Linked DNA regions of Callithrix jacchus. The protein of the gene in region 3 interacts with the protein of the main gene of each other region in a pairwise test. Links are inferred from orthologs where the notes say so. Each region holds a gene or a part of one and is shown on either strand. Other genes may lie near its edges. The genes, in order: RNPS1, U2AF2, SRPK2, SNIP1 and ZSCAN9.

Region 1 (4,275 bases), on a different chromosome or scaffold from region 3:
GCATCAAAACACTTAACACCCAAATGCAAACAGATAAAATGTACCGCATGGACATTTAAAAAGCAGTGATTGCAAACACTGTACTTTAGGAATATGCATACTGAGTGTGTAGGGAAAACACATGCAAGTGTGCAATTTACTTCAAATAAAGCAGAAATGTAACAAACTTTTAAGGGTTTTTTTCGAGACGGAGTCACCAGGCTGGAGTACACTGGCACGATCTCAGCTCACTGCAACCTCTGTCTCCTGGGTGTAGGTGATTCTTCTGCCTCAGCTTCCTGAGTAGCTGGGACTAAAGGTGTGTGCCACCACGCCTGGCTAATTTTTGTGTTTTTAGTAGAGACAGGGTTTCACCATACTGGCCAGCCTGGTCTCAAACTCCTAACTTCGTGATCAGCCCACCTTGGCCTCCCAAAAGTGCTGTAATTACAGGCATAAGCCACCGCTCCCAGCCCTCAAGTGGTTTTTGTGGGCATTAACTGTATAATTCAACCTTCCTATGTGCTTAAACTTTTCAAAAATAAGATGTTGAAGAAAAAAAGTAGGCACTGAGGTTTCGGGAGAGACTACCTACCACGTAAGACTACCTACGTTTAAGTTTAGCAAAACGCCTGGACTGCAGCGTGTGCTCAAATAATGGTAACAAATTACTCAAAACAAACTGCTAATAAGCTATGGGCTCTATTTCAGAGGGACTGCTGCCTTCAGTATTTCCAGCCAGGTCTGCACAAGCTGCATGAGTTTTTAAGTAAAGCTCTCAGGATGTGAGTCTCAGCTACTTCTGTCTCACCTTCTCCAACCAACAGCCTGTACGTAAGCAGGGCACAGCACACTAATGGGGTTCTGGTTTCCCCATGCAGAAATGCCAGTGCTGAAAACGTGTTCTGACCAAGAAAGAAGAGCACCTGGCTTTGAGCTGTCAAATGAGTCATGGAGGGCCGAACATCACCTTTGCTGCTCTTGTCCAGGGCATAGTGTTTTGCCTCAGAACAGTGATGTTCTGCAGACACCCAGCAGGCAGTGCCCGGTATGGCTGGTGTCCTTGGACAAACAGTGAGTATCAGAGTATAATTCCCAGTCTGGAGCCAGGAGGCCTGGGTTTGATTTGAAGTTTTACTGTGCAATTTTGAACAGGTCACTTATCGTTTTTCAAGTTTCTCATCATCAATATGGAGACAACTACAGTTCCAACCTTACAGTTATGCAGGGCATTAATCAAAGGCTCAATACATGTGAGAAGCAAGGGTTTTATCTTCACGTCCAGAGGCTCCTTCCCCCCCCCCAGACACTTGTCTCCAAAGTCCCACGTAATTTCTGAACTCTCTGCAGGGCTCCCGCACCCACCCACCTTAGGATCATCTGCAGCAGCACTGTCCAACAGAAATAGTGTGAGGAGCCACAAGCAGAATCTCAAATTCCTTAGTAGCCACGTCACAAAAATGGGTGAAATTAATTAACATTTGACACAAATCCAAAATACTTTTCCATCAAATAATCAACATAAAAATCTAAAGGTTTCTTTTTTTGTTGTTGTTCAGAGTAAGTCTTCTAAATTTGGGGTGTGTTTTAACATCTCAGTTTTGATTAGCTGCTGTATTTCAACATGCTCAGTAGCCACGTGGGGCCAATGGCTACCTCACTGGACAGCACAGATCTAGAGTGCAGGTCACACCCGCATATTCCAGCCCCACCCCCTAGTCCTAAAGATCTGCCCAAATGTACTCTGTGAAATCAAACACCGCTACTTTGATTCGCTTCGTGAGATCAAGGAGCACCGTTCTTAAGCACTCTAAGAACCACTGAGAAAGCGGACGCTTTGCTGGGTGCGGTCGAATGCTAGAAAGCAAAGGTTGAGGTTCTCTGTTCACACAAGTTCAGGTACCGGCTCAGGACCTCGGTTACCTCCCCCATCCTCCGGAAAGGTGCGCGTCCAACAGCCAGAGAGAGGAGAGAACAGTTAGTTAAATCTCGAGGAGAGGGCGTTTCGGCACAAATCTTCAGAGCGCCTTCCCCATTTAAAAGTACATTTCAGGCACAGTTCATGCGAAATCAAGACAAAAAGCCTACTCCACGTTTCTCCTCCAGCAACCTTAACCTTCCCGTATCCACCCCTCCGGGGTTAACCCATCAAACGGGGCCAGGCCACCGTGCTCGGTCCATAGCGGGCCACATCCCCCAGGCCTAGCGCCGAGAACTGCACACGGGAGCCCGGGAAACGTTCGCGGAGTGCATGTTTGAATCAATGCCTCCGATGGGGGGATCGGCCAGCCTTCCACTGTATCCCACAAAGAAACTCCGCGCCCGCCGGCACCGGCCCGACACGCCGACCTCGCCGCTCCCCGTCCGCGTTCACTCACAACTCCCTTGTCCAGGCGCCGGGCCGCGAGCGCTTCTAGGGCAGGGCCTGGCGTTGGGGGCCTGGGTCTCCGGCACGGCAGGAGGGCCCCAAGGGCGGAAGCCGCGCTCCCCGCTGCTCAGAGTCCCACGGGCCTGGCTGGGCCGCCGCCGAACGGACGAAGCAGAGGCGCCCTTCCGTCCGCCGCGGCCCCGACCACTTCCGGGCCACGGCCACGACACCTCCCACCCCGCCCACCCCGGGCTACACTCTTTCTTTTTAGAGTCCGCACCGCGCCGCCATGCTGCCGCCGCACTGCGGGGCTGGGGAGTGGACCAGCTTCACGATGCTTCCTGCCGGGCCTGACTGGCAACCCCTAAAGCTCGGATGCGGTCGGATTCCGCCCCACTTACATCTTCCCGCCGCCGACACCTCCTCCTGCCTTTCTCAGCCGCTCAAGCCGGCTCCGCTCTGACGTCAGAGTTAAGGAGCGGGAAGACGCTGCCGTCCGGCGCGCAGCGATGACGTAAATGCCTGGGCCAATGGGCGCGAGCGGTGAAGTGTTCAGAGAGTCAAGGCGGCGTGTGTGAGCCGCGTTGGAGCGCTCGCGGTGTCTCCCCGCCGGCGGTGTGTCCCGGCCGGAGGAGTCTGTGACTGGCCGGGCCGGTTGCACGCTTGCTGCAGCGGGCACAGGGGTAGCCTGCTGAGGCTGGTAGGGCCGCGCGATGACCGAGGCTCGTCGTCTGGCGCGGAGGGGGTTAACGCGGCCGTGCCCAGTCCCTTTCCTTGCGCGGGTGCTCTGGGCCCGCCTAGGCCTCCTCCGGCCCCCGACACCGGACGCTGGGCCCCGGGCCCGGCCGCGCGGCGGCGGCGGCGGGGTAGTCGTACAAGAAAGGCGCGCGGGCTCTGCGGCTTTGCTTGGCGCGACGTGGGGACCCGCAGGGTGGAGGCAGCTCGGAGAGATGGGCCGGGGCCGGGCGTGCGTTCGCGTGCTCCAGACCTACCGGTGGCGTTTGGGGTGCCCGCGTGGACGCGGCCTCCACGCAGGTGGAGCTCCGCCGGGTGGGCGCGGCAGCTGGGCAGTGTGGGCAGGAGGAGCGACGAGTTTGAGGGTAGGAGATGGGGTGCACAGGGGGGCGTCTGGGGGTGGTGGCCCTGCCGCGGAGACCCGAGAGGAACGGTGCGTGTGACGGGGTAACAGCAGGGGCCGAGGTTCTCTGGAAGCGGGGAAGGTTCCGCGCGAGCTTCGCGGCGGCAGCACGGAGCGTGTGAACGGCGCAGCGCCGAGGCTTCATTCAGCTGCGGGTGCGGGGTCCCGGCAGGGAGAGCCCAGAGGTGGCGGCGCCTCTGGCTGGGACATGGGAGAGGGTGACGCCGTAGGGGCGCAGGCCCAGACACAGGCGGGAGGCTCCGCACTGGCGCCCCAGACGGAGAGGGCAGGTTGTGTTCACTGCTGCGCCTGGCGGGCAGTCGTTGCCCTGTGATTGTTTGTGGAGGGGTTGACGGTGCGCTCAGCTTCGGACTTTGAACAGCTTCGTGGCAGCAAGGATGGGAGAAGGGAACAGATCCAAGCAGATCTTTGGGAGGAGAGAACCGGCATGACTTGGAGACTTTCGATGTCGGAGCAAAGGGGCTGGGTGCAGCTGGGCGACCTGGAGTGAGTGGGCGGATGGATGGACAGACAGCCAGGACGGGGTCTGCTATCACTGCCCTCCTTCCTGTGTGGGACGCTAGTTCCTGCTGACTTCCTGGCTAGACCCACTCCCTCTGGCCCTGTCCAAGGGTCAGGTGTGCCCTTGACCCTTCACCCTGGGCTAAGGGATGTCCGAGGACTTGGGGACAAAGGCCGCTGGGGGGAGGAGTCACCTCCTGGGTCCACGGCACTAAGTCACCAGTGTGTTCCTGTGGGTGGAGGTTGGCAGGCCCAGTCTGGTTTGGGT
Region 2 (3,512 bases), on a different chromosome or scaffold from region 3:
ACTGCTGATGGCACACCCGCCCCGACGTGCAGACTGAGCCCTCTGAAGTCCCACAGCCGCAGACCAGGAAGAGGTCCAGGCCACAAGCCCCTCACTTCCCCAGCACCTTTGGTCTGTCCTGGCACTGCCACGTACAAGCTGTGTGTCCTCAAGGAAGTCAAAGTTTACCGTCCTGGCCCCAGACACCTCCTCTATTAGCAGAGAGCACCCCACTCACAGAGACATGGAGGAAGCAGGTCAAAGAAACCTGTGTTCCAGTACTTACATGACTCCCTACGCCACTCCAGCTGGGCTGAAGTGAAGGATGGGCCAGGGGAAGAGGGTTGAGGGAGATGGGGGCCCTTAATGGATCCCCCACTCACCAGGCACATAGACGGAGGGGTTCTCTGACATGCCAGGAAGCGGCTGGTAGTCATGAGGCCTGCGGATCTTTAGCGACTGGCCCTGGAAGATGATGCCATCAAAGGCCATAGCCTGGGTAGTCTCGTCCACTGAGCGGAACTGCAGAGAGAAAGCAGTGGTGAGGGATGAGGGCAAGGGGCTAGCACAGCCCCACATACTCCAGGATCAGGATTTCTTCTTTCCTTTCACTCATGTCAACAAATGCAACTTATCAGGCCCCGGGCCAGGCACTGGGAGGACGACAGACATGCACGTCCCCGATGCCAGGAGTTCACACTCCACAGTTAGACACCAGGCACCCAACACACACAGAGGCAAACACACAATTGCAGGCTGTGATGAGGAGGGAGGGGCAAAGGGCTGAAAGTGGATGCTGTGGGGAGGTGACAGTACTGGAGTCTTTCTGGTGAGGAGACGTTTCAGCCGATACCCGGAGCAGTGCACCTGAAAGAGGACCTCAGCGAGGCGAGTACAGAGCGAGAGGAAGCGCTGGGAAACCTCTGCAGCAAGCTACCAATGCCCTTCACAGTATTTCACCAGAGAATCAGTCCACCAAGAGTGGTCGATCAAAAACCATGGCCCTTTTCCAGACACTTGAGAAACACTGACATGCAGGACTAGTTAGTAACATCAGTTAGCTGGGGTAAGTACCTCCAGCCAAGTGGGCAGGTGCGTGGTATGTTCTGGGAAGGTCGGTGTGGCCAGGCAGGCCTCTCAAGTCACACAGAAAGCAAAGGGGAGGCAGACAGTAGGATCGGATCTACAGAGCTATTACAGGGCTCACTTTGGCAACCAGGTAGAGAGCGGACTGCAGAGGGTCCGGTGGAAACAGCGCAAGGCAGCTTGCCACACCTCAGGCCTGAGGGACAGGCCCTCCAATCACACACATTGCCTTGACCCCACTCGCTCCCCCTGCTCACCTCCAAAAAGGCAAAATTCTTGTCCTGGTTAATCTGCACAGCCAAGACCGGGTTGCCGGGGGCCTGCGTCAGCCCCCCGAGGCGCATCTGGGCGTTGAAGAAATCCATCATGGCCTCCTGCAGAGGGAATAGGAGACAGGGGGGGGCGGGGGAAGGGAGGTGGAGAGAGGAGGGGAAGGGTGAGAGAGGGAGACACAGAGGGGTTTGGGGGCAAGGGGAGAGGGATGAGGGGAGGGAGGAGTCGGGGAAGGAACAGTGGATTATGGGTGGGGGTGTAGAAGTCAATAGTAGGAACAGAAGCGAGAGAGAAATGGGGAGGAAGCAGCAACAAGAGACGGCCAAGGGCAGGCGGTGGACAGGCGTTGGGGGAGAGCCACAGGGGCCCCGAAAAACCAGGGAAAAGAAGATTGTTCGAGAAAAGGCAGAAGGAATGATGACAACGCAAAATGAAGAAAAACATGAACAGAGATGGAGACAGCACACAGGAAGGGACACCCAGTGGAGACAGACGGAAGAGTGGAGGAAAGTAGAAAGGAAGCAGCAGGCAGGGGCAGAGACGAGCAAGGACAGAAAGAAGAGCAGGACGGAGACGAGCAAGGAGGAGGTCAGAGTGCAGGGGCGGGAGAGGAGGAGTGTGGGGAGGAGGGGCAGGGCGGGAGGGGAGGAGAAAAGAGTGATGTGGAGGAATCTGGCCCTGGAGTCCGGGGGCTGGTTTATCAAATGTAGCAAAGTGCAGGTTGAGAAAGTCAGAATGGACCTTACTTGCCTTCAACGATGGTAGCAAACTTTTTGTTGCTACGAGGGATCTCAGCCCCACAATATTTCACTTTAAAGAGAAATGGAAACAACTCTTTGATCTCGGGATTCTCAGGGGGTGCCACAGGAAGGGGTGGGGGAGAGGGATAGGGAAAAGGAGTGGTGGGGAAGGGGGGAGGTCAGGGGCGATCAAAAATAAAAGAACAGCGACCATGGGAGGGACATGGGGAGAGGATGGGGGACAGGCGGCAGAGAACGAGAGGCGTGTCAGAAAAAAACTGAGGGGCAGCGTGCGTCTGTGTGTGTGTGTGTGTGTGTGTGTGTGTGTCCAAGTCTCCCTCTCTGTCTCTCTCCGACACGTAGGTACAACACGTGGGTACATTATGTGTGTGCTTGATCCCTGGGTTGCTGGAGGAGGTTGGGGGGAGGGGAGACGGGAGAGGGGAAGAGGAGGGAGGGAGGGCCACCCCCAGCCCGGCCCCTGGCTGGCTCAACTCCATCCGTCCGTCTGGGAGGGGGCCGGGGGGTCTTGCAGGAGCAGAGTCTGACCCGTGCAGGTTGGGGAGAGGGAATGGAGGGAAGGGGAGGAGTGGGGAGGGAACAAGGGAGAGGGTGGGGCAGGGGGAGGGCAGTACCTCAGTAATGCCAAAGGGGATGTTGCCGACGTAGAGGCGCCGGGCCTGTCTGGTCATCTGGCTCCCGACCACGGGCACCGGCGTTGGGGTCACAGCCAGACCGTCAGGGGTCATGGTGGGGAGAAGAGCAGTGGCTGGAATCTGGCCCGCGGCTTGAAAGGGGGTAAAAACAGGATAAAACCCCATCAGGGGAACACTCAGTGACCACCCACACTGCACACCAGGAGCTCCCCCCTCAGCAGAAAGCTCCTACAGGCTCTCAGCCTCTAGAACCCTCTCCCCACCCTCGGGGCCCCCAGTCAGTAACTGCTGCTCATGCAAAGCCTAGTTTCCCAATGGCGTCCAGATGGAGGTCTCATTCGCATCAACCATGGGTGTCTGGTCATCTCCTCCTCTAGGGAGGCTTCAAAAGGGCAGAGGCCAGCCAGAAACCCCAGGCTGCACAGCGCCCCACGCGCACACACAAGGCAGCCTGCAGAGAACCCCGCCTGCACCCTCCAGCTCTGGGAGCAGCCCGGCCTCAGACCTACCTTGCATGGCCTTGTACTGCATCGGGGTGATGTGCTCGAAGCCTGGTGGGGGCACATCCCAGTATTTACGGACCTTCTTCTTCTTCTCATGACGGGGGGAACGACTGGGGGAGGTGGGAGGGGAGAGGGGGGCAGGGTAACCTCAGTCTGACCAACAGTGGGCCTCAGAGCCCCTCCCAGGTGCCCTTTCACCCTCCCCCCCACCATGTAAGCTGCACTCTCTCCAGGGAAGGAGAGGATCCGGGACAGGGCCTGGGGAAGGGGTGCTG
Region 3 (3,512 bases):
CTGTGAGCAGGGGAATGCACTGATTGGATGAGCATACTGCAAAGATATTCCAGTAGCACCATGGAAAGGCAGGCTGAAAAGCAGGTGGGGAGAAAAGCTGGAGACAACACAAAGCCAAGAGACCAGTAAGGAGCCTCTGTAACAGCACAGACAAGCAATAACAGTGCCCACTAAGGGCCAAGGCATGGGGTCCCCTACTTAGGAGGTACAACTGGTAAAATGCGATGATTTACTGGATGTGAGAGAAAAAAAGGAAACATCATGGTCATCAAGTTTCTTACTGGAGCAACAAGAAACAGTGGTAACAAGTATAAGAAATACAGCATGTTTAGCAGGTTGGCAGGGAAAGTTGTATTATGGTTTTTCAATATATTACATGTTATTTATCTACCCTTTCCATTTACCTGTTTTATTTAATTCAGTGCTATTAACAACCCAAGAGTTAGCTATTTCTTTCCTTTGATTGAGGAATAAATCAAGGCTCAGAAAGGACAAGAAACCAAAATTCCACAGTTACTAAGTTTTGAGCTGGGATTTAATCTGGTATGCAGGTGCCTCTCAGTGTCTGCAAGGGGACTGGTTCCAGGAAACCCTGAGAATACCAAAATCCACAGATGCTCAAGCTCTGATATAAAATGGTGTAGTCTTTGCATATAACCTACATACATCTTCCTATATACTTCAGTTGATCTCTAGTTATTTATAGTACCTGCTACAATGTAAATGGTACATAAGTAATTGCTTTAATGTGTTGTTTAGGGAATAATGACAAGGGAGAAAAGTGTGTATATGTTCAAAACAGACACGGGTTTTTTTTCTGCTCCAACTATTTCCCAACTGAGGTTGGCTGAACACACAGATGTGAAATGCACAGATGTAAAACCCATGGATGTGGAAGGCTGACTGTACTTGAAGCCACTCCAGCCCAAGCTAAGACTTGCAAAATAAGTAAGAATAAAAAACGTACTGTGGGCTGATCATGGTGGCTCATGCCTGTAATACCATTAACTTTGGGAGGCTGAGGCACATGGATCACCTAAGGTCAGGCATTCGAGACCAGCCTGGGCAACATGGTGAAGTCCTGTCTCTACTAAAAATACAAAAATTAGTTGGTCATGGTGGCAGGCGCCTGTAATCCCAGCTACTCAGGAAACTGAGGCAGAAGAATTGCTTAAGTCCAGGAGGTGGAGGTTGCAGTGAGCCGAGATTGCATCACTGTACTCCAGCTTGGGCATCAGAGTGGGGGGTGGGGGGTTGGGGGTGGGGAAGGGAGGGAGAAAAGGAAGGAAGAAGGAAAGGAGGGAGGGAAGGAAGGAAGGAGACAGGGAGGTGAGGGGAGAGGATAGGGGAGGGAGGGAAGGGAGAGAGAGAAAGAAAAAGGAAAGAAAAAAGGGAGGGGAGGGGAAAAGGAAAATGAAAGGAGAAAGAAGGAGAGAGGGAGGGAGGGAGGGAAGAAAGGAAAGGAAGGAAGGAGGGAAGGAGGGGCACAGAGAGAAAGAAAAGAAGAAAAGGAAAAGGAAAGGGAAAAGGAAAAAGGAAGGAAGGAAGGGGAAGAGGAAGAGGAAGAGGAAAGGGTAAGGAAAAGGACAGGACAGGATGAAAGAAAACAAAGGAAGGAAAGAAGGAGAAGGAAGGGAGGGAGGGAGGAAAGGAAGTTTGTAAATTACTTTCTATATGAAACTTGTGGCTCACAGCTGTAATCCTAGCATTTTGGGAGGTTGAGATAGGCAGATCGTGAGGTCAGGAGTTCGAGACCTGCCTGGCCAACATGGTGAAACCCTGTCTCCACTAAAAATGCAAAAATTGGCCAGATGTGGTGGCACATGCCTTTAGTCCCAGCTACTCAGGAGGATGAGACAGGAAAATCGCTTGAACCGTGGAGACAGAGGTTGCAGTGAGCCGAGATCCCACCACTGCACTCCAGCCTGGGCGACAGACCAAGACTCTATCTCAAAAAAATAAAAACTTTCACTAAGAGAAAAATTTAACTGCAACAGCAACAATAAATCTGGATAAGGTACATCTCACTACTGCCCTTTCTCAGAAATTAACCTACACTCTATGTAAGCACCTTCAAACACTCCCTATAAAGGGGAATAGGAGCTGACCACGTCCAGCCAAGTGAAGAAAACACATCCTTAGGAGGATTCATCATAGCCAGTTCTTAACAAAGCCAGCTCACTCCTTATCGTGCAATTCCAGCCTGCTGGAACCAAGGGGCTGCAGAATGTCTTGGACTGTTGGCAGGGGTGGCTCATCAATTACTCACTGTGTGTTAAACAGTCTTGACAGTAGAGGGAGCCCAGGAGGTTTCAGAGCTTTCCCACCTTGAGCCAGAATGGAAACCAACTGAGTTACCCAGTTTTCACACACCAGAGTCACTTGGCATTCACTCCCAAAATAAGGGTCTAAATAAGTCAAGGCTTCTTAGGTAGACAAGAACACAAGAGCCAATCTATCATCTGTCATCACATTTAAATCCATGCCAATTCCTTGAAATTCACAATCCTGGGTGGGTTATCAATAACAGGGTCCTATAATCAGGAACAACTATGAAAAGACAATATGACACTTCTTTCCCAACAGAGCCAAAGAGCAGGCATACTTTTCTTGAATAGAAAAACAAAACAAAAACGAAATACAATCATAACAGATGCAAGATACAAATTATACTACACATTCTAGAAAGCTACAGGTGTAAGTTGCTAAAACTGGAAGGTTTCTGCAAATGATGCTGCTGACTGAATATATTAAAAATGACAACTGGTCAGAAATAAGATTTGGTATCAGAGAGCGAGAGATAGCCTAGTGGCACAGAATGTACATTTAAATCACATTACTTGTTCCTGAGTATAAAAGTAATAAAAATGATTAGTGCAAGCATATAGGGGTTGGTCACTTTCAGCCAATTCCTTCATAGCATTTGTTAAAGGCACACCCCGGGAGTCAGTGATGGCAGACAGCTGATGAGAAGAACACTTACCTTTTGGCAAATCCCCAGTACTGGAGGCTGAAACCGTCCTGCTTCTGTCATGGGAAGGACTGCTTTCCTCTTGCTCAGTAAGTGGTGATCCCTCAGAAAGCACAGAACCGCAGGCCACAGGTTCTAAGGATCCAGAGAACAATGAGGTGGAAAACTCTGGAAACTGTGACTCGGGAATTTTATGCCGTCCATTTGGCAATTCACCATTGAATTGTTCATAGGAGCTGCTATATGTGTAATCACTTTCTGCATTTGGCTCATCAAGATTATATTCCTCAGGATTTGGGCAATCTTCTTCATCATCCTCTTCATCGTCCAGTTGCTGCTCCAATAAGAACGGGCCATTCTCAATATGGCCATTGGTTTTAGGTGATTCTATCCACGTAGGGTCTATGTTTGCAAGTTCCTGATCTACATCATCATCATCTTTTTCAATGTTTTCTTTCTCAGTGTCTTCTTTCTCTTCCTGGTCCTCGGCTTCACCTTAAGAAGTTGATGGGTCAAGAATTAGAACTTGTTACTCTCCTTA
Region 4 (4,103 bases), on a different chromosome or scaffold from region 3:
TTGTGCCCTCCAAAATTAGCTTGTTGAAGTACCAAACGCAAGTACCTCAGAATGTATTAATAGCCGTATTTGGAGATGAGGTCTTTACAGAGCTGATTAAGTTAAAATGAGCGTAGGGCCCTAATTCAATATGGCTGAGAAAAGACACCAGGACAGGAGAAAGATCATGTGAAGATGTAGTAAAAAGGTAGCCATCTACAAGCCAAGGAGAGAGGATGTTTTTCAGGAGAATCCAGACCTGCTAACATCCTCATCTTTGACTTCTAGCCTCCAGAATTACAAGAAAATGAATTTCTGTTGTTTAAACCACGTACTCTATGGCATTTCATTATGGTGGCCCTAGTAAACTAATACAGCCACTCTGGAAAACAGTCTGGTAATTGCTTAAAAAAATTAAACCTGCAACTACCATACAATCCAGCAATTGCACTTCTGAGCATTTATCCCAGAGAAATGAACTCTTATGTTCGCATATAATCCTATACACAAATGTCTATATAGCAGCTTTATGTGTAATAGCCAAAAAATGGAAACAAGCCAGATGTTCTTTAATGAGTGAGTGGCTAAATCCATGCTATTGGATATCACTCAGAAATAAAATGGAACAAACTACTGAGAGATGCAACCTGAATCAATCTCTGAAGGATTCTGCTGAGTGAAAAAAAGACAATCCTAAATTAGGTTACACATTGTATGATTCCATTTATGTAATATTCTTGAAATGAAAACATTACAGAAATGAAGAACAGATTAGAAGTTGCCAGAAGTTAAAGAATGATAAAGGTGGGAGATGAGTGGGTGTGGCTACAAAAGGAGAACAGGAGGTATTCCTTGTGGTGAAGGAAATGTTATCTTGACTATACTGATGTCAATATTCTGATGGTGATGCTGTACCACAGTTCTGTTATGAATAGATGTTACCACTGGGAGAAACCAGGCAGAGTATATCTCTCTGAATTATTTCTGACAACTGCATGTGAACCAACAATAATCTCAAAATAAAAAGGTGAATTTCAGCAAACAAGCAGAAAAAAAGAAATATACCCAATTTTCAGAAAAGCCCATTGGAAGTACAAGTAGAAATGTAGGCGAGTGTGCGTGCACACACACACACAACACACATACACAGCCCTCTCTAGCTATGATAGGAAAAGGCTCTCTATGTGGCCCCAACATCAAAACACCCCAATCCACTTACCTGCTTCACTTTGACTGTTGAGTGGTGAGGACTTCGGGTCCTCTTACTCCGAGGAGACTTGCTTCTTCTCCCTGAGGACTTGTTTTTCTTTTTGGGTGGGGACCTATACAAAGCATGGTACATACAGGATTTTACTCAATTTCCCTTCCCCCATAAAAATTAGCTTCCAGTATCAGGCTTACATACTAACACAAACACCACATTTGTGAAGGTCTCTGACAGACACATTATAGTCACGAGGTTCACTTTCCTAGCCCTAACATCTCCCTCGCATTCCACACTCACAAAGACAACTCTCTACTGAACCTTCTCACTTAGATAACATAGCTCTTAGTTCCCAAGCCTTCAAAAACCTTTCCTCTCCTACTCTTTGCCATCTTGTTAATTGGCATCACCATCCAGAAGTCACCTTTGACTCTTTACCCCTCACTACCAACACCCCTACCATCAATAACAATTTATCCATCCTGTGGTTCTGCTTCCTGCCTATACCATCTCATTCCTACCACCCACCTGCTTGACCACTATACTCCACTGACACTGGCTTTTTCCCATTTCAATCATGATTCATTCTACTTCAAGTGCTTTGCACATGTTGTTTCCTCTGCCTGGATCTTTCAGAGGCTGGATCATTCCTATCAGTCAGGTCGCAGTTCAAATGGCACCTCTTTAGAGGCCTCCTCCCTCTTCTCTCCAATCTCTCACTATCACAGTACTGTTTTAACCTGTCAATAATACTTGTTACTAACTGAAACCCACTTTATTTATTTCTTGTTATTGTCTGTCTCAGGGCTAGATTTGGAAACGGTGAAGACCATCTAACTGAATCACCCTTGCAGCCCCAAAACCTAGGGCAGTCTTTTAACACTTAACAGGCACTCAGTAAAACTACGCTGAAGGAACGCATAAATCTATGTGAACTTTTTTTTTTAGTTTCTGTCGACGTGAAAACTTTTTGGGCAGGTAATTGTAAAGACAACGCCCGCACTCCATTCCTCCATTCGGGATGAGGAGAATCTCATTCCAATTTAACAGATTATCTGTGCTACCTGCTGAGCCACACTTTGCAAAGTGCTGGGGACACAAGAATGGAGGGACGGGATCCTGCCAGTTAGGCATTAGGCGTTGAACACCGAGCTATCATGCAAGTGACTGAGCAAGCATAACACAGGCACGACTGGATCACTCTCAACCGCCTCTGGATTAGGTCCGGGCTAGCTGCGCCCAGCATTCAAAACCCGTTTCGGACGCTAGCCCTGCCCGCCTTTCTGAATGAGCCCAACCCTAGGTCCATCCTGGGCTGCTCCCCCACTTACCGGCTAACTCCTCGGGCTCGGTTCCCGCGGTGGCCCGGGCGGCTCGGCTCGCTGGCCGGCGGGGAAGGGCTACCGCCGGAGTGGTCCGGACGACGGTGGGCGGGAGGGGCGGCTTCCGGGCTGAGACGCTCCTGCTTCACCACCACCGTCGCCGGCAGCACCACATCCACGTCCCGGTGTCTTCGCCGGCTCCCTCGCTCCCGTTCGCTCTTCACCGCCTTCATTCTGTGATTTTGCCTGAGCGAAAGAAAACAGATCCGTTGAGCTCCTCTAGCTGAAGGAAATGACGTGTTTGACTCCTGGATTTCCGCTTCCGGGGTGCCCCGGTTCCCATATATCTTCGCGGCAGAGAGATTAAACAGGTGACGACTCCCCAGTGAGCGTGGTCAGTGACTAGGTTTGGTGGCAGGAGTTTCGGGTTTCAAAAACAAACTTCTGGCCTGGCGCGGGGGCTCACGTCTGTAATCCCAGCACTTTGGGAGGCCGAGGCTGGCGGATCACCTGAGGTCAGGCGAGCATCCTCGCCAACACGGTGAAACCCCGTCTCTACTAATGATACAAAACAATTAGCTGGGCATGGGGGCGTGCGCCTGTAATCCCAGCTACTCGGGAGGCTGAGGCAGGAGAATCGCATGCACCCGGGAGGCGGAGGTTGCAGTTGCAGTGAGCTGATTGCGTCACCGCACTCCAGTCTGGGCTACAAGAACGAAACCGTCTCAAAAAAAAAAAAAAAAAAGAGCAGGGCTGGGCGTGGTGGCTCACGCCAGCACTTTCGTAGGCTGAGGCAGGCGGATCACTTGAGGTCGGGGGTTCGAGACCAGCCTGGCCAACACGGTGAAACCCTGTCTCTACTAAAAATACAAAAATTAGCCTGGTATGGTGGTGCAAACCTATAATCCCAGCTATTTAGGAGGCTGAGGCAAGAGAATCGCTTGAACCCAGGAGGCGTAGGTTGCAGCGTGCGGGGATTGCACCACAGCACTTCAGCCTGGGTGACAGAGACATCACAAAAAAAAAAAAAAAACCTGGAAAAAAGCAAACTTCTCAAGGCTGTTTGTTGCCACGTTATTAGTAATTACAAAACGTGAAAACAATGTAAATGCTCAGCAATAGGGAAGTTAGCCAAATTAATGGGTGTTATGTGGCCATTAGTAAACCATTTACAAACTCTAAAACATGTTAACGATAAAGCAGGATACAAAATTGTGCACAAACTGTAATTACATTTACATTTGGAAATAGAAGGGAGAAAGAAATGGAAATGCAATCAGAGATGAGAACCCATGGTCAAATCATTAGCGTTTCCTCTTCTGTTTAATAAACTTTCTGCAATGCTGTTGGGGCTCAGAAACTGAAACCCCAAAATAAGGCACATTGACTTGCTGAACTGAAGAAGCCTCGATGTTCCTTCCTTGAATCCACCGTCTCTCCCAAAGCACAGGACTTTATCTGTCTAATATCCAGACTACCAAAAGGAATAATTGTTTCTTTCTTCTCCTCCCAATAATGTAATCACACCTGACCAGAGACCCTTATACTGTCAAAAGAGCTATTTACAGCTAAGTACAGTGGCAGCAGCCTGTAATTCC
Region 5 (4,089 bases), on a different chromosome or scaffold from region 3:
TAGAGGCACCATCTCTTTAGAGAGGACTTCTTGTCTGTGTCTGTGGGCTACCATCTGGGGACAAAAAGACGAGATTTGACTTTTGAAGAAATTAACTGTCTGAAATAAACACTTCCAAGAAAGAAGAACACAGGAAGAAGGTATTTTATTACCAACATCAAGGAGATACAAAGCAGATACAAGGATGCTTGGCATCTCAAAGTAGACCCTTTTCTCCAGCAAATGTCCCTTCCTACCTCATGCTGTGGTTCATCGAGCTCTCTCTCCAGGTCCTCCAGCAAAATCACAGCCTCCTCTCCACTCTCTGGACAGTGTTCCCTCACCCAGCCCTGGAGCTCCTTGGGCAGGATGGACAGAAACTGCTCCAGCACCAGCAGATCCAAAATCTGCTCCTTTGTGCTCACATGTGGCCTCAACCACTGGTAGCAAAGTTCCTGGAGTCGGGTAAGAGCCTCCCTTGGTCCAGGGGTCTCTTGGTAACACAGCTGTCGGAAGTGCCTTCGGAAGATTTCCCTTGCTAGTGGATTACTGCGTTTCAGCCTGGATTCCTGCCTTTGGAAGTGACTTTTTGCTTCCACTTTCATTGTCAGAAGTTCTTCCCATGCCTCAGGAACTTGAATACCCAGGGATAAAACCTCCTTTGAGTTTGTATTCATCTTGACCTTGAACAGCTTAAAAGGTACCCTCCAGCTGGAGCTATGCTTCAAGACACACCAGAGGTGCCTGCCTAAGCAGTAAAAATAATTATTTATACAGAAAAATGGCAATAGCTGATGACAGAAACTGGTAATATAAGCAATTATCACAGACCCTAAAGCTCTTCACTGAAAAGTGGCATAGTAACCAAAGGATGGAAATAATGGTACTATATACATTCATAATGTGCAAAAAGCATAGGCTTTCAAGTTACCCAGATGTGGGTTTTCTTTCTTTTTCTAAAGATGGGGAATTTCACTCTGTTTCCCAGGCTGGAGTGTAGTGGCATAATCATAGCTCACTGCAACCTCAAACTCGTGGGTTTAAGCGATCCTCCCACCTTGGCCTCCCAAAGTGCTCCCGAACTGCTGGGATTACAGGTGTCTGCCACCACGCCTGGCCCAGACCTAGGTTTTATTCTGATCCTAACATTTACTAATTGTGTGACCTTCTGCCAAGTTTTTAAATCATCCTTCAATCTTGGTTTATGTGAAAAATAAATAGCAATAATACCTTACAGAGTTTACGGAGGAAAACAGCCCATGAATTAGGGACTGCACAGGTAACTCAGAAAGGCTGAATAAAAAGTCTGAACTCACTGTATAAACATCAAATTAGAGAAAGAATAAATGGGAATGTTGTTATTGTTGACTAAATGAATGCGCCAACATTTACCTTACTATTTACTTCAGTGTTCTTAATCTTCAAAACAACCATTTAAAGTTGGCATTGCTTTCACTAAATTTACAGAAAGAAAGGCTTAGGTGGACTGTCCTGTGAGCTTTCCACACTGCCCTGGTGCTACTGAAGAGTAACAGTCAACACTGCACCAGTCTACAATATGCTTTCAGGTGCAAGACCGTATTTAATCCTCACAATTACCCACTCAGGTTTTATTATGGTAATTATTTCACTAGATAAGAGATGGAAGCCAGGGAAAGGTAAGTAGACTGCCCAAGGTCAACTTCTTTGTGAGGATAATCTTAAGAAGCCAAAGAAGCCCAAGGGAGAAGTTTTCTCCTCAGACCCAGGCAGCTCCTGAAACCCAGGGGATGTTTCTAAAATGGGTGCCTCCAAAACGTCAGGAAGCAGACCGCGCAGCCGGGGGATCCCAGCCTGACAGGCCCTATGGCAGACGTCCGGGGAATCCGAACTGGGCGTGGAGAGAAGTGCAGCGAGCCCTAGAACATCCACCTTTCACAGGCGCCTCAGTGATCTGTACGTATTGTAAAGTTTGAGAATCAAGGAATTGAGGAAAAGGGAATGAGGAACTGTTACATTCTGCACTTGAAAACCAGTCCATTCAACGCCCCTCAAGTTGCTTTTAGAATCTAGAGGTGAGAGGGTATACAGGGCTCTCCATCTTTTCCTTTCTTTTTTTTTTTTTTGAGCCTTGTTGCCCAGGCTGGAGTGCAATGGCGCGATCTCGGCTCACCGCAACCTCCGCCTCCTGGGCTCAGGCAATTCTCCTGCCTCAGCCTCCTGAGTAGCTGGGATTACAGGCACGCACCACCATGCCCAGCTAATTTTTTGTATTTTTAGTAGAGACGGGGTTTCACCATGTTGACCAGGATAGTCTCGATCTCTTGCCCTCGTGATCCACCCGCCTCGGCCTCCCAAAGTGCTGGGATTACAGGCGTGAGCCACCACGCCCGGCCCAGGGCTCTCCATCTTGCGGACTCCCAAAGCCCTAGTAATCCTTAACTTCCTCTCCCGAGACTTTCTTCCCCGAGTTCTAATCCTGTGGTCGTTACTCACGGAAGTGACCTTTCAGCCTCGCCGTCCTCCCATAACCCTCTCTCGTGTAACGTCCCCACAGTCGGGGACGACCATTATGGACGAGGGAACCCCCGAAGCCGCGCGACACTAACCGCCGCCCCCTCCTCCGGCTCCCACTTCCCGGAGGCTGAAGTTCACTTTCGATACCCCTTTCCCAGCGCCACGTTCCGCGACCCGCCTCCATTCCCGGTCCCCACGGCCAACTCACGAGACCCGGAAGGCGCGAGGAGCGAGCGGGGGTTACCGGTCCGGCGTTGCTAGGAGCTCCGCACGAACAATGGCCTGGCGGGAAAGACGCCGACCCCTCCTGGAGCGCGGACCTGCCAGACGCACTTCCGGGCCGGTCTAGGCCTCCGCGTCTCGATGTCCCGCCTCCGGCGTCCACGTCACCTCTGGCTCCACCCCCATTTTCCTGGCGTCCAGGTCTTCCTTGGCGCGAATCACAGAATCAGAGGGTCTTAAGTGTGGGGCCGCACGCGGGTTTTAAGCGGAAAACGTTGATGAAGCATAGGCCGTTAAGTATTGAAAACGCGGATGTAAAGCATTTCTAAAATGAATGCCTTTCTATGGTTTGAAAAACCCCTCAGTCAATACCCAAATTATTAAAATGTCAGACCCCCCACCCCTCCTTAGTCCCAGTCCCTAAGGCAGCCACTGTCCCCGGTAGCGATGCCGGGCCCGGGTCGCCATCCACCGGGGGAGGAAGAGCGGCCTTCCCCGGAGCTCAGGGCCGCTCTGGAGCGAGAGGCCGCCGGGAGAGCCGGAGCCCCGCGGAGCCCCGCGGAGCCCGCGCCGGGGCTGATTCTCCGCCTGGGAAAGGACCGCGCAGCCGCAGATCCACGGAGCCCTGAACGCCGTCACCTTCTGCTGGTACGAGCAGCTGCTCTGGCGCCTCTGGAGGAAATACGGGGGCCCCTGGCGCCCTGACGAAGCACCGCAGGGCCCCGGCGTGCACACCGGAGACGGCGGGCCGGGGGCCGGCGCCGAGCGGACTGTCCGTGGCCGAGTGCCCGGGGACCCGGGCGTCCGCGCTCACCCCTCGGGCGTCCTGCCGGGCTGGGAGGAGGGAGCCGCGGAGGTGCCGGACCTGGGTGGCGGCGGGGGCTGCGGGCCCCGAGCTGGACGGGGAGGTCAACGGCAGTTCCAGCCCCGACGGCAGGGCTCGCGCCCATTGGAAGCCAGGGCAGCGCCCGGTCCAGCTCCCCCGCCATGCTTTGGCCAATCGCCCAGCCCACCTCCATCCCCTGCCCCGCGCATCCATCACCCTCTCCGTGGACTCCGCCTAGAAGAAGGAGCGTGGGGCGGGGAAGGCGGCCGGCGGCCACCACGGCGGCCTCTCCCAGTCTCTGCCTCCACCCCGCTTCATCCCGGCCCACCCGGCCCCGCAGTCCCAGCTCTTGCCCAATGCCCAGGAGTTCACGTACGAAGGTGGTGGCTCGCCCAGTTTCTTCTCTGATGGCGCCAATGGCCAGGGCAGTGGCACCGCAGCCCACTTTGGAGGCAGTGGGGCTGTCACCGGCAACCGCAGCAGCTTCTACCTGGCCCAGGTATTTGGAGGTGCTGCCAACCGCCTCCTCCTGGAGAAGCCGCCCTTCATTGGAAGGCCTCGGCTAC

What was found.
Region 1: the proteins of SRPK2 (region 3) and RNPS1 interact in binary tests that used the Homo sapiens proteins (3 or more experiments, as listed by UniProt). The link is inferred for Callithrix jacchus from reciprocal best matches to the Homo sapiens genes SRPK2 and RNPS1.
Region 2: the proteins of SRPK2 (region 3) and U2AF2 interact in binary tests that used the Homo sapiens proteins (3 or more experiments, as listed by UniProt). The link is inferred for Callithrix jacchus from reciprocal best matches to the Homo sapiens genes SRPK2 and U2AF2.
Region 4: the proteins of SRPK2 (region 3) and SNIP1 interact in binary tests that used the Homo sapiens proteins (3 or more experiments, as listed by UniProt). The link is inferred for Callithrix jacchus from reciprocal best matches to the Homo sapiens genes SRPK2 and SNIP1.
Region 5: the proteins of SRPK2 (region 3) and ZSCAN9 interact in binary tests that used the Homo sapiens proteins (3 or more experiments, as listed by UniProt). The two-hybrid records come from large-scale screens. The link is inferred for Callithrix jacchus from reciprocal best matches to the Homo sapiens genes SRPK2 and ZSCAN9.

The regions. Positions count from the first base shown.
Region 1 is NC_133513.1:4,501,447-4,505,721, reverse strand, and holds the start of RNPS1 (RNA-binding protein with serine-rich domain 1), read right to left. Parts: upstream 2,809-4,275; 5' UTR 2,751-2,808; coding exon of another isoform or gene 2,749-2,750; exon of another isoform or gene 168-2,748; intron 1-167. Other genes in the region: uncharacterized protein LOC144578542, read right to left, coding at 2,900-4,087. UniProt on the Homo sapiens protein: Part of pre- and post-splicing multiprotein mRNP complexes. Auxiliary component of the splicing-dependent multiprotein exon junction complex (EJC) deposited at splice junction on mRNAs.
Region 2 is NC_133523.1:48,525,307-48,528,818, reverse strand, and holds part of U2AF2 (splicing factor U2AF 65 kDa subunit), read right to left. Parts: intron 3,348-3,512; coding exon 3,244-3,347; intron 2,866-3,243; coding exon 2,714-2,865; intron 1,440-2,713; coding exon 1,323-1,439; intron 502-1,322; coding exon 363-501; intron 1-362. UniProt on the Homo sapiens protein: Plays a role in pre-mRNA splicing and 3'-end processing. By recruiting PRPF19 and the PRP19C/Prp19 complex/NTC/Nineteen complex to the RNA polymerase II C-terminal domain (CTD), and thereby pre-mRNA, may couple transcription to splicing.
Region 3 is NC_133512.1:75,522,111-75,525,622, forward strand, and holds part of SRPK2 (SRSF protein kinase 2), read right to left. Parts: intron 3,467-3,512; coding exon 2,984-3,466; intron 1-2,983. UniProt on the Homo sapiens protein: Serine/arginine-rich protein-specific kinase which specifically phosphorylates its substrates at serine residues located in regions rich in arginine/serine dipeptides, known as RS domains and is involved in the phosphorylation of SR splicing factors and the regulation of splicing.
Region 4 is NC_133508.1:74,105,687-74,109,789, forward strand, and holds the start of SNIP1 (smad nuclear-interacting protein 1), read right to left. Parts: upstream 2,803-4,103; 5' UTR 2,739-2,802; coding exon 2,515-2,738; intron 1,302-2,514; coding exon 1,199-1,301; intron 1-1,198. UniProt on the Homo sapiens protein: Required for pre-mRNA splicing as component of the spliceosome. As a component of the minor spliceosome, involved in the splicing of U12-type introns in pre-mRNAs. Down-regulates NF-kappa-B signaling by competing with RELA for CREBBP/EP300 binding.
Region 5 is NC_133505.1:2,889,502-2,893,590, forward strand, and holds the start of ZSCAN9 (zinc finger and SCAN domain-containing protein 9), read right to left. Parts: upstream 2,813-4,089; 5' UTR 2,660-2,812; coding exon 2,455-2,659; intron 728-2,454; coding exon 237-727; intron 55-236; coding exon 1-54. UniProt on the Homo sapiens protein: May be involved in transcriptional regulation.